3 linked regions of the Daphnia pulex genome follow. The protein of the gene in region 1 purifies or fractionates together with the protein of each later gene. This does not show direct contact. Links are inferred from orthologs where the notes say so. Each region holds a gene or a part of one and is shown on either strand. Other genes may lie near its edges.

Region 1 (5,024 bases):
AATAATCGAATTCATCTGATAGCCAAGGTGAGACCCTTGTGCATGCACCGAACTTTTCTAACTAAATTCGAATAATTTTACGTAGGTGTTTTCGGTCGTCAATGGAATCACATCTATGGATCTGATTGGAGAAGGTGGCAGTTGGGAGAATTCATTCGCTGATCAGATGTTGAAACTCAACTACGCCGTCAAAGTGGATGAATCTTTTATGAACAAACAAGATAATGAACAGCGTCAATCCGCACAAGAAGCCAAGCCGAATTCTCACATGGCTAGACACCGACAACGAGAGTAATTTATAATTTTAAATTTTAAAAAATCGGTTAATGAAATTGACAATTTTACGCTCACTAGGTTGGAGGAACAGAGATCTGTGGCTGCCGAGTATTTGGCAATGGAACTTGAAGTTGACGAGCCAAGACATTACAGTCGCAATGAAACTTCTGTTGTCAAACTCGTTGGCCCTGTTAATCCGTTGGAGATGAAGATGTTCGGCAAAGTGCAATCCCTTTTGGGTAGCCTGGTCAAGATAGAAGATGATTCCGTCAACTCAGTTATACTGGAAGATCAACCTGGAGATCATCACGAGCGCGTTCTCGTTGCTGCTCACGTAAGGATACCTTGAATCACTATGTTTTACATTTTATTTTTAAATTCTTCTTCTTTACAGGTCGGATCTCAACAAAACGGTCGCCATGTCCAGGCTCGCAGCACCACTCTGCTTCCAAATATCCCCGGTTTACCGGCCATTCTGACGCTTCTTTTTGCCCCGAGAGCTGAATTCCGGGCGGACAAGGAGATTAAACGCCTTACGGGTGCCATTTGTGGGTTGGGTTACGATCAAGTGAAGCAGCAATCCTTCTATCCTGAACATGATATGGAACTTACATTTGACTCGGAGATTGGTCTTACGGTTAGTGTTTATACTGTTGTTTTCTATTTCACGAAATATTTACACAGTTTTTTATTGTATCTCCCTTTAGGATGTGCTTCTCATCAACAAAATTAGATTTTGGTTGAATTCCGTTATGGGCGCACCGTCATTCAGTCAGCACCACGCAGCGCCATCCCAGGAGCGCATGAGAGAAGTCAGTCAGAAAACGCTTGGATTTTTGTTTGAGCTCATCACCAAACCGCGTGGTGACGTCAAGTTCGAACCCTCGACCAGCTATAAATGGAATCTCATCAAACCCGAAAACCTTCTACAGTCGGATGTCGCTGAAAGTCAACTGGATACTCTGATTCCACTCCACGACTGTATCAAGCTTAACCCCTGAAGGGATTGCAGTCTAATCTGAAATGAAGCATTCTTATTGAAAAACTTGTTTGGAGTATTGGTAAAACCAATTGTTTCAATCCAGAACCAAAATTAAGATATGTCGGTATTATTGCTTTGATTTGTTGTTCCTACATCGTGTCCTGTTTGTGAAACAGTCGATGAATGCTAATTGTTTTGAAAAATACAAAGAATTCGATAACGTTTCTTGTATATTGTTCGTTAAAGAATTGACAAATACTTTAAGTATTTAATTAAGTTTTCAAAGCCCTAAATCAGGGGTTTTACCTCCTCGACCTTCTGCAAAAGATTTTGCAATTTGTCGCTTCATGTCATCATCGCCGTCCTGGTAGAGTTGCTTCATCATGTTCATCATGCTCGCCTGTGGATCGTCGCTGGCTGATGCGTCAAATTTGGGGGCTTTAGATTCTTTGATTTTCTTTTCTTCCATAGTAACAGTGGGCCAAGTGATTGGTTTAACTTTTGATAGAAAGACTACCACAGAATCTGGAAAACAAGGGGGACAGGATTAATACACATGTCACTATACTTTAGTGTAGTATTTTTTTTACCTGTTTTTACTTTCCAGTGGCTCTTTGATGCATCAATAACTTCAGCTAAATTTTTGATGACCAGAGAATAATTTTTACCCTTTAGTTCCTTAACTGAGAGGTCAAGGGATCTATAAAATCATACAGTTTAGTCATTGAATTAATGCAAATGTTTTTAACTATCATTGTACCTGGAACCAAAGGTGCAAACTACATTTTCAGCAGGAAGAGTTTGGACATCTGCCAGAGTGATGAATAGCTTGAAGAATTTGTCAGACTGATCCCAAGCTAAAGAGATAAATTACACAACATTAAATCATCAACTTTTCTTCAGCATAAAATTTTATAAAAGATTACCATAGTTTGTAAGTTTGACATCGTAACATCTGACAGCAGAAGCTCCAGCTGCGGCAGCTGGTTTTGCCTCAAGATTGAACATGTTGTCTTTGAGTTGAAGACTGATTTCAGTTTCTAAACGGCGTGTTTCGATGCCCAAAACATCTCTCACAGATTGGCGCGTGGCCAAGTCTGTCAATTTCTTCAGCTCATCAACATCTGCACGAAGCTGAAAGTTTCAACAAACGAGACACTAGTATCATGTACACGTCAATCATCAAGAAAATCTTATGAAACACAAGTTTTTAAACACAAAAAAATTAGGAAAAAATAAATGTTACGTACTTCATCAATAGGTCTAGGCATTTTGCAACTGTACTCAAAGAAAACCAACGTAAGAGTGATTTGACAAAACGAAATGTGCAAGTTGCAACCACAAGGGAATGATTAAATTTTTGTCAATTCGACGTCTTCTGCTTGACTGTAAAAAAACGGCAATTATGAATTGAACCAAGTGCTGCCTATGGCGAACTGCGGTTCTATTTCCAAGGTGTTGTGTTACAAAATATAATTCAACGGTGGGATCGGTGTGAAATATCAACCGCAGCTTTTTTTAAATTCGTAATCTCTCCAAGCATGTTCTCGAACAATCTTCTTTCAAATTCATGCTTTTTAAATACAAAAGCTTCGTGTTTTGGCTACTAGATGGCTAGACAGAAGCAGACGAATTTGTTGAATGAATGAATGAATTACAGATTTTTTTTAATGAGTGTGCAAGTGAAAGAGAGTACTGCTCCCGATTGTAATTTCGGGAATTATACAATCCCTACAATACCACTTCTTAAAAATGAGAACGGCTGAAGAATTATGGAGGTAAGATTGCCGTATAAACACGTGGGAGTATTTAAGCAAGGTTTTGGAAACTGTTACAGTGGGTGGGAGTACTCGTCCTTGTTACATTGGAAAAGCAAATAACTAACTAAAAATGTTCCTATACTATACTTGACATTGTTTTTGAATGATAAACTTTATCATGTCACATTAAATGTTTTTTGGTTTTACTTACCATGTTTGTGTTGTTTACTTTTTCTCAGGGAAGCGGGAGACACCAGATCAACTATGCCAGATGTCATTGATGTGACAAATGACTCTCACTGCAGCTTCCTCTATGTTTTACGCAACCTGTACAAAGACATTATTTTGTCAAATTTGGACTATGCACTTGACAAGAAAGTTGAGCAAGATTTGTGGAATGTGTGTTTTAAAGTTCCCATCTCGGGGCTGCAACCAAAACAAGGGAAGAAAAGTAGCAATCCCATCCTCAAACTGTTTTTGGAAGGAGCAGCTGGATTCTACATGTTTCTGCTGCAAGAAATTTGTGCCCAGTGCGACACAAGCTCATCCATCTGCAAGAGAAATGCCCAATTAGGAATCTTCAATGGCCCCTCCTATGCTCTCCAGCCCAAGAATGAGTCAGTCCTTTACATCTGCCAGCACTGCTTGATCCATTTGGGAGATTTGGCTAGATACAGAAATCTTTTGACTGAAGCCGAAGGATACTACAATCAGGCCATCAATGTTGAACCTTCAAGTGGACATCCTTACAACCAATTGGCACTGCTTGTATCAGCACGGGGGGATATGCTGTCCACGCTGTTTTACTACGTCCGCAGCTTGGCCCTCAAACATCCGTTTCCACCTGCTAGAATCAATCTCGATAAACTCCTGAAGAAACAATCTGTGCAAGTATCAAATTACCAGAAAACTCGCGGAGGTCGACTGAGCGCCGAAGAGTTTCTTCTCGCTTTTCTCAAGCTGCAGGGACAAATTGGACTAGGTGTCGATCTGGATCAAGCGGAGCAAACGGTAAATCTTTTGACATTGACTTGGCCATCGCTAGTGGCCACGGAAGCCCTGACTCCAGCACAATTGATCCGCATGCTGACCATCACTCTCTATTCGGTGGGCGAGTGTAGTGCAGCCTCGGCCACCGACGCCCAAAAGAGATCACTTCAGTTGGCTATCGATGTCGCTTCATCTGTTTTCAATGCTTGCTTAACAGCCTGTTGTTCACTGCCCGACCAACAGCTTCCCAACTCCAGGTACTTGTGCGTGATCAAACTTGTCCTCGATTGGTTCCACTCTCAGCCACAAGTGCTCACGAAAATCAAACGCGGCCAGCTCTGGTCGTCGACAGCGAAATTACTTAATCAGCTCCAAATTTGTTTTGCATCCAACGGTTCCTTCACCGTAGACGACGATGGAAGACCTCTTCCGGAAGATTTAGAATTGCTCGAATTCGCTCCACTCCGCCCCTCTTCTAGATGGCCTTCAACGCAAGTGACTCAAGTAGATGAGCATCGAATAAGAGCGTCGAGAATCATCCAACGAGGAAAATGGTTGACTGAACAACAATTTGGGTGTTTGGCGTTGACGGTGCAGAGTGGCGAAGACAAACCCGAATGGCTTTTCTCCAGCCTGAGACCGGATGAATCGCCTGTTGACAAACTGATTGAAAATTTATCGATCGAACCTGTAAAGGAAATCAAAATCTTGGCTCGACCACCGCAGCGCAACGTGGCACTAACGGCCATTCTGAAGCAAAAAGTCGATGATGATCCAATCCCGTCACAGTCACAAGACGAGTCTCACAACAAGCAAGTGACATTCCAGCACGTGCTGGCTCCTCCTCTCCCTCCTGTTAAACAGTCAATCAGCAACAGCAGTAGCATCAATTACCCCAGACCATCGTTGCCTCCTCGTTTGGAGCGACTCAAAGCTGAGCAAAAAGAACGAGAGCAATTAAATAACAATTATGGAGGGATGTATTCGAGTTTTGGAGCAGCCAGTGCCTTACCGGA
Region 2 (5,851 bases), on another chromosome or scaffold:
CAGGCCACACATAAAAGACTGGAAATTCTCTTGTCTGACCGTCGAGGGCGCCACTGCGCCTTCGTGGCCCCCTGGTGTTGGCTTTTTTCAATATGGCCGATCTGTGACGTCAACGAGCAAGTCACCAATCAGAAGCGAGCTGAACCCAGTCTATACAGTTTCCCCTATATTCCATTGCAACCGCATTTTCTAGCCAAAAGCGGGCTGAATTTCCTGCCCTCTCTGGCCCAAAAAATATATAGAATTCTTTTCTCGTTGCGCTGACCATGAGCATGGCCGCCTTTATGAAAAAAAGAAAATCGGGCCACGTTATTTTCCGCAAGCGCGCTGCTCCACATATTCATCAAATAGTTTACTGCATTGAGTTTCTCTCTTCTAATACACAAATGTACGCACATCCTCGCCTTGATTACAATACCGGCAGTCTGTTTGTTTTCTTAATTTATTTGCATAAAGCTTATTTTTTGTCTCTCATTTTCTTAAATTTTTCGTCATCATCAAATAGATTTATATCTGCAATATACGGGCGAGAGATAAAGAGAAGAAAGCCATTGACCTTTTCTGACATCAACCAAGAGTGTCAAGAGCAGAATAGGGAAGAGAGGGATTTAAAACAAATACACACGAAAAGCACAAGAGGTCAGTGATACAAGAAAACATATGATTTAGCTTTCAACAGACGGAATAGCTTGACGTGTTTCTATCCTACAACTAGTAGAAAAAGCTAAACGAAAACAAAAACAAAAGAACGTGACAAACGAGAAAAAAGAGTGCGAGTTATGGCCATCACATCAGCTGCTGCCAAGGTACGGGGAGACGTTAGTTAGTTCCAGCATCCGCAAAACGAAATGGAGAAAACCACGACGAAAGATATTCAAAGGCACCAGGAGGGCAAGAGGAGCATCCGCGGCTATTTTGACAGAAAAGCTGTGTAACGAATTATTACAATCCTCATTTTTTTTTTTTTTTTTTTTAAGTGATTTCTCCCTTTCTCGCTTCACTGGACTTTGAACGCGGATGAATTTTTTTTACATGATTTGGCAGCCAGTTTGCGAGAATCGGCAGTGGAGGAGACGGGGGTACAGGCAAGTTCAATCCAATTGTGTCAGTCAGACGTCATTGCGAGTCTAAATTTAGACCGAGAATCAAAGATTAACAATTTTGCATGGAAAGGACTTTCTTCTGACTCCTCCCCTGATACACGCCTCTTGAGCTCCCTGCCACTGACGGGGGGAAAAAAAAAGGAAAGCTAACACGTAGACAAAACAACTGAGGAGTCTGGGTTAACTATTGTTAGTCCCGTTCGCACTGGTCAGGTCGTTGGTTGGATCTGTCGTCATACTGTCGCGACTGCTCTGTTCAACCGGCTGCTCCTCTTGCTGCTGTTTGGTGTTATCCATCGTCTCGTCGTCGTGAGGGTCGATGGCTTCCCTGCTCTTTTTCAACTTGTCCAGATACTCTTGTTGCGATGCAGCCAGCACTTGAGCCAAAAGTCCAGCATCCTCCCAGTCTGCTAAACCTTTAGCCAATTTTAAAGCATAAAATTAAACTGAAAATATCTGTTGATATAAACGTCAGTTACCAAACATGTCAGGAGGCAACTGTCCCAGGAATGAAGCCGTTTCAGCCAATTCAAAGCCTGGCCCCAATCCCCAATCGGGTTTACTGGTGTTCACTGGGTTTGAACTTGAAGTACCAGCGGCCGGTGACGCGATAGGGCTAGTTGATGCACCTTCACGACTACTAGAGGTTGTGGCGCTGCGTGAAGTGGACGCTCTCGGTGAAGCATTTGGAGACTTCCGCTGGTGTTCAACAAAAGATGGTTTGGGCGAATTACGAGCTGAAGAGGACGTCGTTGCTGTTGTTCTTGGGGAACGGAGCTCGCAGGCATTCGAGGAAGTGGTTGCCGAATGACCGGACCGTTGCTGCTGTCGACTGCGTCGCTCGTTTTCTCTAAGCCAGTCGAGGTAACTTTCACGGGCAACTTGCTCTTCAATAGCTTCATTTGTTGCCTCCCAATCTGTGGCTTTAACTTTATCTTCTAACATGGCTTTTTCAATTAAGGTCTCTTCACTTTGTCGCATGGCATCACCCATTAATTTCTTGTCTGCTTGACCAGGGACAAATCCTGGCAATCCCAGTCCTACTCCCACAGTGGCTTTGTACGGATCAACCAAACTGTTGTAGTGCACTCCACGATGATAAGACAATCGAATAGGTTCGTCATCAGTCTGATGTTTACCATGGAAAATATTGATCGGCTCTGTAATGGGTTAAATTTAAGTAAGCCTTCTATTTAGCGAATTTTATCGAAATGATAAGGGCTTACCGACGCTGTAGCAAAATACTTCAATATGTCTGTTGTACATTTCGCTCATAGCCTGCATCTCAATGTGATTGCCATGTACATTTTCCAATCTTTTTCTACTCACATAGGCGGCAAAGTCTTCAGTCATATACTGTGAAAAGTAGTCTCCGTTTGCGTCCTTTTATGACAAATATAAATATAGACGTAATGTTTCAAATTCATAAAAATACAACAGGACAATTACTTACAATATAGTCCATACAATGTTTGCGAACCATTGAGTGCATTTCTTGATCACCGTAGATTTGATCAGAAACGGCACGAAACAAGCAGGCTCCGTCTTCACCCATCCGCTTAATAATAAAACCTCGTTTCCGCATCTTTTTCTCAAACCATCTTTCCTTCTAATAATCATATTGGCATTGATGGAGTTCTATGAATAACACTTCTGTCTTAGGAAACATACCTGTTCCCATTCTTCTTCAGAAATGGGGACATTAGAAGATGAAGATCTTGCAGGTCCATATTCATCTCCACTGTTATATCCACTTCCTGATTCATCTTCATGGGAAGAAGGATCTGGTACTGTATGGCTTGGTGTGGGAGAACTTCCTGAGCTGGATGAAGAGGCAACACTGTGCATGGCTGAACTAGTACTAGGTATGGCAGAGGTTGATGAATTCCTATCTCTGTGCTTGGGGCGGACAGCTCTAAATAAAAAAAAAATATGCCTGTCAAATTTCAATGCAACAAAATAATAACTGAGATTAAATACCTATGGGGACTGACTCTCATTCTTCTTTTTGTTTGACTAGGACCACTCTCCAGGTCATAATCTTCATAGCGAGATGATGACTGGCTGCTGTGTCCGTGGCTGTGGGGATGGCTTGATGATGTTCTTCCAGACAGCCTAGACACACTGCAAGTTTCTGCTACCTGTAAAATTTATGTAAAATACATTTTAATAAGAATCAACAATGCTGACTTTTTGTCATCTTTGTCAATAATAGTTATCAATACTATTTGCTTTTATTCATTGAGCACTGCCTAAATGGCAAGGGTGTAATGAACAAAGCACCATTTGCTTCTTGTACATAAGTACTGGTTGTAGCTGGACCGGCCATTTTGTGTGGTTGTTTCAGATGTCAATTAGAAGATGCACTGAAACTTCCAGCCATAATTTCTTCCAAAGGCTGTTTAAATACTGGGGTATATTTATAAAAATAATTTTTTTACCTGTGGTACTGGTCCAATGTGTGAAAGGTGATTATTGCTCCCAACTGAGAGGTGTTGTAGGGGAGATCCATCAGTATTACTTTCGGATTCCGACCGTGATTGAGATGACTTCTTTTTCGGCAGAATTGTCATGATGCTTGTGCAAAGATCACTCTCTTTACCGAAACGCCCTTGAAATGTACTCTTCGACGATTTCTTTTATCTATTCAACGAAAAAGACAAATTTTCCACTGAAAGATGGCCGTGTCTATTTTTCTGTCTAAATTATTTAGAGGTTGCCATGTCGATGAATAAGCGAAAACATAGAGTTTCAAAATGTTTCAAATTTTCAATGGAATGAATTTTCGGAGTGATGCTATGAATAAAAAACATAATTTTTCATGTTTGCAAAATTGTGTTGAAAAATATTTTTTAGCTAGCTTCTAGCTAATATGTATTTTTCAATTTCCGAATTTTTGCTCGAAGAAGGCAACCAAGGATGTTAATTGTATACGAACATTCTGTCTGCTCTGCCAGTATTGTGACATTGACTTCGTTTTGATCGTGTGTCTGGAATTTTACTTTTTAAGTGAAACATTGCATAACTTCTGCCAGGAAGGAATAAAATCACCCTGCATATACCTTTCAGGTAGGTGAATTAATTATTGTAGCATTATTGTAGAACCTGTCGTAGGTTCCTTCTAGCATGAAGTAAGAAAACGAGCAGAAGATGTAAAGCACAAAAAAAATAAAAATAAATACAAATCGACCGACAGAGGGTGTTGACCGAGCTCGAGTTAATATTTCGCTCAAGGCGCAGTAAGTGCCCTTGTCTCAAGTAGTTTTGAGTTTTATAATAACGCGAAGGGACAGTGAGTAGAGTCAGTGGCATCTGGCCTGTGCGAACGCTGAAAATTACTAAACGAAAAATTCTAAAAGAGTAAACAGTTGCATCAGTCCATCAGACACATCCAAGCATAGTGGCAGTCAACATGGATAGCCAAGTACTGCTGGTTGTCACTGCTTTGATTGTGTACATTGTTATGGCAATTTGTGCTTTGATTCCAGTCTGCATTGTAGCCAAGAAATCTACCAAGGACTGCAACTTTAGTCGTGGTACAGAAAGAATAATTTCATTCTGTAATTCCATGGCTGGTGGAGTCTTCATCGCAATGTGCTTTCTAGGACTACTTCCTTATGCGCAAGACAAGACGAGGAAAGTGCTTGCAGACCTTAATATAACAACTGATTTTCCTGTTGCTGAATTCACATGCATTTTAGGATTTTTCCTTATCATGTCAGTCGAACAGCTCATTCTTCAATGCCAAAATTCAAAGAACAAGACCAATGGAGACTGGGAAGTCCCAATGGCTTTTGACGAAACTGATAGATCAAGTAAACTGAATTATTATAACACAGTCAGAGATGAAAGTGCTTCAGAAGAACTGCTTGGCAAAAAAGCATTAGAAGCAGTCTCACCAGAGAGTCCTTCGATTCTAAAGGAAATCAACATCCCCAGGATTTATCAAAATGTTCCTATGGTCACCTTTAAGGAAGAAGATAGCGATGAAGCACCTAGTCCTAAAAAAGTTCTTCAATTGGAACCAGCCCAAGGCTGCAGCCACCATCAAGTAGAAAGAATTCTCAAGAACAAATCTGGGGGAACCCTACGCCTAACTCTGCTGTACATGGCTATTAGCATTCACTCATTATTTGAAGGAATGGCCTTGGGCTTGCAGACAGAACAAATGAAAATCTTTCACCTGTTTTTCGCGATCGTGTTTCATGAAGCCCTCATCGCCTTTTCAGTTGGTATCACAATGGCAAGACAGCAATTGACTCTCCAACAAGGAGTCAAATATATTCTCATCTTCTCACTGGCTGTCCCTTTGGGGATTTGTCTTGGACTGGTCGTTCAACAAGCTCCCGGTACTGGTGGATCTGTCGCTTCTGCAATATTTCAATCTCTTGCAGCTGGGATATTCATTCACGTCACATTCCTCGAACTTATTCCGGCCGAACTTGCTAGTTCGAAAGACAGAATGGTTAAAGTTGCATTCCATTTCCTTGGATTTATAGCAATGGCGCTTGTGACCATTACAATGGGATCGCACCATTAAATCCGCAAAATTCGTTCTTTCGTGATGATCTTCATTTGTTTACATACTCTCTCTGTTTTTCTTTTACTCCTCGTTGACTCTGGCATGATACTATTGTCCACGCGTTCTCCAATTTTGAATTTGATAATCTTGAAATTTTTTCATGCTGTTTGCTTTTGTTTCTTGAACACTAGTCGCCTTGTGAGTTATAAGATCTAAAAATAAGTGC
Region 3 (5,229 bases), on another chromosome or scaffold:
CAATTCACATTGCGGTTGTGTGTCTAAACAAAGGCAAGAAAGATGGCGATGATGTTGTTGTTCCGTGAAAAAGATTTCATATTTGGTTTTCCTAATTCTCTTCCGAATGGAGGATTGAATAGGAAAGCGCATTCATCCGCAATTTCTTGCGGTGGAGCTTCCGTTTTCTCCATCGACAACAGCAACCAACTCTCCCAATTTGCTCCATTCCAATTCGTTGACTCGATGACCTGAGTATCTCTCTCTGTGTGTGTGTGTGTGACTTCGTCTTTCCATTTATAACCTCCACTGTTGTTGCTCTCACCATCCGCTGGTCGTGTCTTATTATGTCGCCATTTCGATTATTTGACCTTCTTCCCTCGTTTCCACTCCGCACAGACTCACGCAGTGAGTACACACACACCACACGTATTTTGATTTTCCACCTCTAATTAGCGAGTTGGATGTATTGAAAAAAAAGACAAAAAAAAAAGAGTCCCATCGACTGATTGTATCATGCTATGTATAAATTACCTGAGACTGTGTTCAAAAATTGTCACCACAGAGCCGACGACAACAACAACAACCATTTCTCCTGCTCCTCAACCCGTTTCTTTTGGTTTTTGTTGTCCTCCCAGCGTGTGTGCTGGTTGCGCGGGTCTGTGGACAAGTCGTGTCGTGATTACCCACATTATCTTTCTCTCCCTCTCTCTCTCGTGTTCGTGCTCGCGCGAGCGAGATTGAGCTCACTGGCCGTCATTATGGAGCGACGACGACGTCTTGCTGCGCTTCTTTCCTCTCCCGACCCCGCCCAATTTGAGACGAAGAATTATTGAGGTTAAAGCGACAAGGAGAAGAACAAACAAATGTGTGCTGCAGTTGCGCAGTGTGGGCTTTTTTTGATTATTTGATTTTCTTTTTTTTTTGTTCAAAACCGAACGGACCTCACAGATCAGATCCGATTGTCAGCAGATTCGGGATCGTCGGTTACCCCCCATTTTTTCCCTTCATTCTGAAACTCGCTCACCCCCCTTACAAACTTTAATTGCCGTTTGATTCACCCCCCATCTTTTATTTTCTCTCTCTCTCTCTCTAAATAGATATACAGAAGATTTTATATATTATATTATCGATTCTATTACGTCGAAACAAAAGCCAATCATTTGTCTTTTATTTTCCATGCGTGTGTGTGTGTTTCAGATTCCAGAAGCTCAGTACAAGAATTGTATATACATGTTCGCACAGACACAACAAACACAATGTAGTTTTTCTTTGACGTTTGATTTCGATCCAACCACTTTATTATTACGTCTCTCTCTCTCTCTCTATCTCTCTCTGGCTCATCGATTTTGTCCTTAATTGTGAATAACTTGTTTTGAAATCATCTCTTTAGCTTCCCGTATCATGTTGTTTCACTACCCGCCGATCCTTCCCCTCCGCCATTCGAATGGAGACGAAAACAAAGTTTCGAAAAAGAAAGAAAATCAACTTCATTAAAAAAGAGGAAGTGTTTTTGAGTGATGTGATTAAATACTCGGATGAGCATGGCTATGTGATGTAGTGCGATTACATCTCCAAAAAATCCACCCCCAACCCTCAACCCATTTCCACACTTTGAAAAAAACAAAAATGTTACATAACATGTGTGACGATGATGTGATTATAACTGAAAAGAGAGAAGAAGTAAACCCGGTTTGAAAAAGATAATAACAGAAAAATAATCGACGAAAAGATAAAAAAAAAATACACACAAACACACACTGTCTATACCATACGATTGACTTCTCAGTTATTGTTTTATTATTTATTATTCCGCAGCATCGGCGGAATATACTATCATTATTTGCACATAAAAGTTGATGATGAAAGAAAACAAGATTTTTGCCATCATTAATCAAGTATCGAACATTTACAACCGCCGAAGAGCGGGGACACCAATTGAGAAACATTTCAAATAAAAACCTACACCTAGCCCCCAAACTGAGCACGATTCAATGAAAGTAACTGATGACGATAAACAATTCGAAAAAAGATAAATCAGATTCTTTTAAGTAAGTTGAGAGGACTGCTGCTTCTGAACTAAAGGACAAAAGGGACAAATTCATTAGTGTCAGCTCGCTGGAGTGGTCCAGCCGGTCGCGAGGACACTGAAGACAAACATGTTGTTGGATTAATAATCTGACAAGAATTCCGGGGTGTCACTCTACACCGTGAGCAAAAATCATGATGAGACCCGGTTCCAATATCATATCTGGATTCATATGTCCGTTGTCGCAGGCCATGACGGCCACGGCTTGTTTGCCCGGAATCCTCCGGCAGACATAGTTCTCGTATTGACGCCGGTTCAGCTGGCGGATTTCCAACGACGACAATCCCGTCGGCCACCGCCGTTCGTGGGCGTTTTCCATCAGATCCTGGATGATGTGCGGTGGGCAACCCGATTCGGAAAGGGCTCTCTTGATCATTGCCTGCAACTTTAAAAGGTTATCGTATTTGATTGAATGTATTGAGCTCGCCAACTGTAGGATATTACCTGTAGCACCGTGTCCGGAGTCGAGATCATGCCACCCCAGCGCAGGACTCTCGCCTTGGGTAGAGTTTCGGCCCAGCGTCTCACTTCGTCGGCTTCCATCTGATCTGCCAGAATCCGCAGCGAAGGATTGGCGTTCCGCATGGCTAGCATGTAGTCCTTCAGCAGCTGCAGTTCTCGTTTCTGTTCGCTCATCTGAAATTTGCCCTCGGCTACTTCCGCCTGCACCTCAACTAGTTTCGATTGCTGGGCCTGCATCAACGAGCGCAGCTCTCGCACGCAGTTGTGTTCCTGGAAATGCAATCAACATAAATAAGGTACTATTTAAAGTTGTAACCTGTAAAACAACCCACTTACTTTCAACTCGTCTTTTGGCACAACTAGCCCACAGCCGAGCTCACATGGCACCGGTCTCTTTGGATTGAACTCACATTCTTGTACATGAGACTCCAGGGCATCTAGTTTCAATATTGCAGTGCACCCATAAACAGAGTTATCACAAGTGAGCTGTAGTCTAGAAAAATAATAGAGAAATGGTACAATTTCATACTGATAATAAGGTTTCAAACTTCCAAACCACCAACCTGTATAGTAGGTTCCGAAGTATTCTGGGAACAGGTCTCAGCTGAGGAGGGGTTATGTTTTGTCTGTCGACAGGACAAGTTGGCTGTCTCGAGAGCCACTCGTGAATGCAAGCAGAGCAAAATGCATGCTCACAGTTGGGTGCCTGAAATTACAAGTCTATTAAATCCATCACATTCCCTCTGGGGAAATTTTATTGCTACTCTCGCTTTTGGAAGCGAACTGTCATTATTACCTGTAACGGATTTTCGAGCACTGAACTACAAATTGGACACAACAATTCTTCATCAACTTCTCCTTGAAATCGATTTATTTCAATTCCCATTTTTCTTGGTTAACAAAACGGCCAAGAAAACTTTGACCTAATTAAGTAAACACACCTGCTTCTCAGTAAGAGTTCGCGTTTCTTTCTTTTTTAATAAAGGGGGAACAGAATTGACGTACCTAAATAAATGCAACAACAAGGTGTTGCAGAGCCATCGGGCGGTAGAAAAATTAAACCGTAAAACGCAGTCTGACGGTTAGGGAACGAAGTTTACATATGGAAGTGCCAACGTCACTTCTTTTCATTTCAAACCAATCCTTCAAATGCTGAACATGTAAGTTGATCAACACGTGGTTATTCTGGGTTTTCTAATTTTTTAGTTTCTCATTTAAGTTTTGAAAACGTAGTTGTAGGATATGGTTAACGCTCTTAACACAGTAATTAGCCTGAACATTTTTAATATCTATATGTGTATTGCTTTGGTAAGGTTGAAGTCTAATAAAACCGACTTTCTCTAAGAAGTATATTATAGAGAAAGAAGCCTCAGGTTGGTCTGGGGTTTCTTTGGTTAAAATGGACAAGTTTGATAATAAGTAGTTTTAAGTGAAATTCCATGTTCAGTCTGAAATCAATGTTGCAGTAACGGTCATGAGGCGAATGAAATTTCCTCTTGTCTAGTAACTAACTTGTCAATTTAAGTTGTTAATTTGCCTCATGTAGGAACAGGTTTGATTATATCTCTTAATCTGTTCATTTTAGGTTGATATCTTCAATGCCAGGAGGGATGATGGCAGATGAGTGCAAGGATCGGAAACAATTTTTGAAGGGCTGTGAGACAAATCATGCATTTAGGCTACATTGGTGCCTTGAAGACGACTAGTTTGGAAGGTAAAAACGAATTCCTATTGTATATGGGTAAATAGTCCTGATGACCCTAGGATTACAATGAAATTTAGTGTACCTAAATTAATATTTTGATTAAATCTCTATCGCAATATTCTGAAGTGTAGACCAAAGCAGTATCACACTGAAATGGTTTGTAGATTTTCATGATCAATTATGTCTAGATTGATTTCTGACCTCACTTGGTTTTGCACCGGTTGGTTGTAACCTATCTTCCAGAATTCGCTGATTTGAATGTAATCGAGGAATAAAGGTTGGTTTTCTTATCATATATGTAAAATATGCTGTTGGATTTTGCTGATGACACTCTTAGGACACCTAAATATGTACCCTGATTACTAAATGTGCTGAAAGTATCGAGTGACTTGTCGTCATTTTGGTCTAGTCCTCGCCTTAACGTTATATCGTTTTTACAGAGAAGATTCCATGCCAAGACATTTCGTGGAGGATGGATGTCGACTGTTACGGCTATGGAGCCAATGGAGGAGGTATAGTTATTTTTACATTTGCATTTGAGCCTCAGAGTCACCGGTTTAACGCACATGTAGTATTCCGGTGCTAGAGGATCTCATAAATTAAACGTCTAACCACTTATGCTCGATCTGTATTTATTGCAGAGGTTGATCACCTCGGTTTGAGACAATTTGTTTTGACTTTACAGGAAGATTTAACATTTTAATGGTGTTTATTTTTATTTTTTTGCAGGCAGTGGGTGTGCATTACACTAGATGAGATACAATCATGAAGGTGTTTGCGATTCTTAGGTAAATGGACAGTTTTAATGGTTTCTTTTGGATTTTTGTGATGAACAACAGTTTCCTGTGTTTCTGACAACCATGAAGACCCACTCGAGTCCCTGATAATTCAGGCTTTTTAATATCATTTAATCGGCTGTAAACAAATATTGACGATTTGTTTGGTTCGTTTATTCAGATTGTCTTGTTTAACAACCGCCGTCGATTGTTGAGCT

The links.
Region 2: the proteins of calcyclin-binding protein-like (region 1) and OTU domain-containing protein 5-B-like purify together in Homo sapiens (affinity purification with mass spectrometry; 4 studies listed by BioGRID and IntAct, with this or other methods). This does not show direct contact. The link is inferred for Daphnia pulex from reciprocal best matches to the Homo sapiens genes CACYBP and OTUD5.
Region 3: the proteins of calcyclin-binding protein-like (region 1) and E3 ubiquitin-protein ligase NRDP1-like purify together in Homo sapiens (affinity purification with mass spectrometry; 4 studies listed by BioGRID and IntAct, with this or other methods). This does not show direct contact. The link is inferred for Daphnia pulex from reciprocal best matches to the Homo sapiens genes CACYBP and RNF41.

Annotation. Positions count from the first base shown.
Region 1 is NC_060023.1:1,464,901-1,469,924, reverse strand, and holds calcyclin-binding protein-like, read right to left. Parts: upstream 2,839-5,024; 5' UTR 2,530-2,838; coding exon 2,509-2,529; intron 2,393-2,508; coding exon 2,185-2,392; intron 2,116-2,184; coding exon 2,019-2,115; intron 1,959-2,018; coding exon 1,849-1,958; intron 1,784-1,848; coding exon 1,539-1,783; 3' UTR 1,471-1,538; downstream 1-1,470. Other genes in the region: probable ATP-dependent RNA helicase spindle-E, read left to right, coding at 86-291, 355-610, 671-913, 984-1,277; protein SMG7-like, read left to right, coding at 3,011-3,036, 3,258-5,024. UniProt on the Homo sapiens protein: May be involved in calcium-dependent ubiquitination and subsequent proteasomal degradation of target proteins. Probably serves as a molecular bridge in ubiquitin E3 complexes. Participates in the ubiquitin-mediated degradation of beta-catenin (CTNNB1).
Region 2 is NC_060018.1:2,563,204-2,569,054, forward strand, and holds OTU domain-containing protein 5-B-like, read right to left. Parts: upstream 3,828-5,851; 5' UTR 3,677-3,827; coding exon 3,545-3,676; intron 3,245-3,544; coding exon 3,084-3,244; intron 3,019-3,083; coding exon 2,775-3,018; intron 2,713-2,774; coding exon 2,557-2,712; intron 2,487-2,556; coding exon 2,330-2,486; intron 2,264-2,329; coding exon 1,583-2,263; intron 1,520-1,582; coding exon 1,284-1,519; 3' UTR 425-1,283; downstream 1-424. Other genes in the region: zinc transporter ZIP1-like, read left to right, coding at 4,516-5,643. UniProt on the Homo sapiens protein: Deubiquitinating enzyme that functions as a negative regulator of the innate immune system. Has peptidase activity towards 'Lys-48'- and 'Lys-63'-linked polyubiquitin chains. Can also cleave 'Lys-11'-linked ubiquitin chains (in vitro).
Region 3 is NC_060021.1:11,015,112-11,020,340, reverse strand, and holds E3 ubiquitin-protein ligase NRDP1-like, read right to left. Parts: upstream 3,469-5,229; 5' UTR 3,417-3,468; coding exon 3,327-3,416; intron 3,237-3,326; coding exon 3,094-3,236; intron 3,024-3,093; coding exon 2,867-3,023; intron 2,801-2,866; coding exon 2,513-2,800; intron 2,454-2,512; coding exon 2,178-2,453; 3' UTR 1,747-2,177; downstream 1-1,746. UniProt on the Homo sapiens protein: Acts as E3 ubiquitin-protein ligase and regulates the degradation of target proteins. Polyubiquitinates MYD88. Negatively regulates MYD88-dependent production of pro-inflammatory cytokines.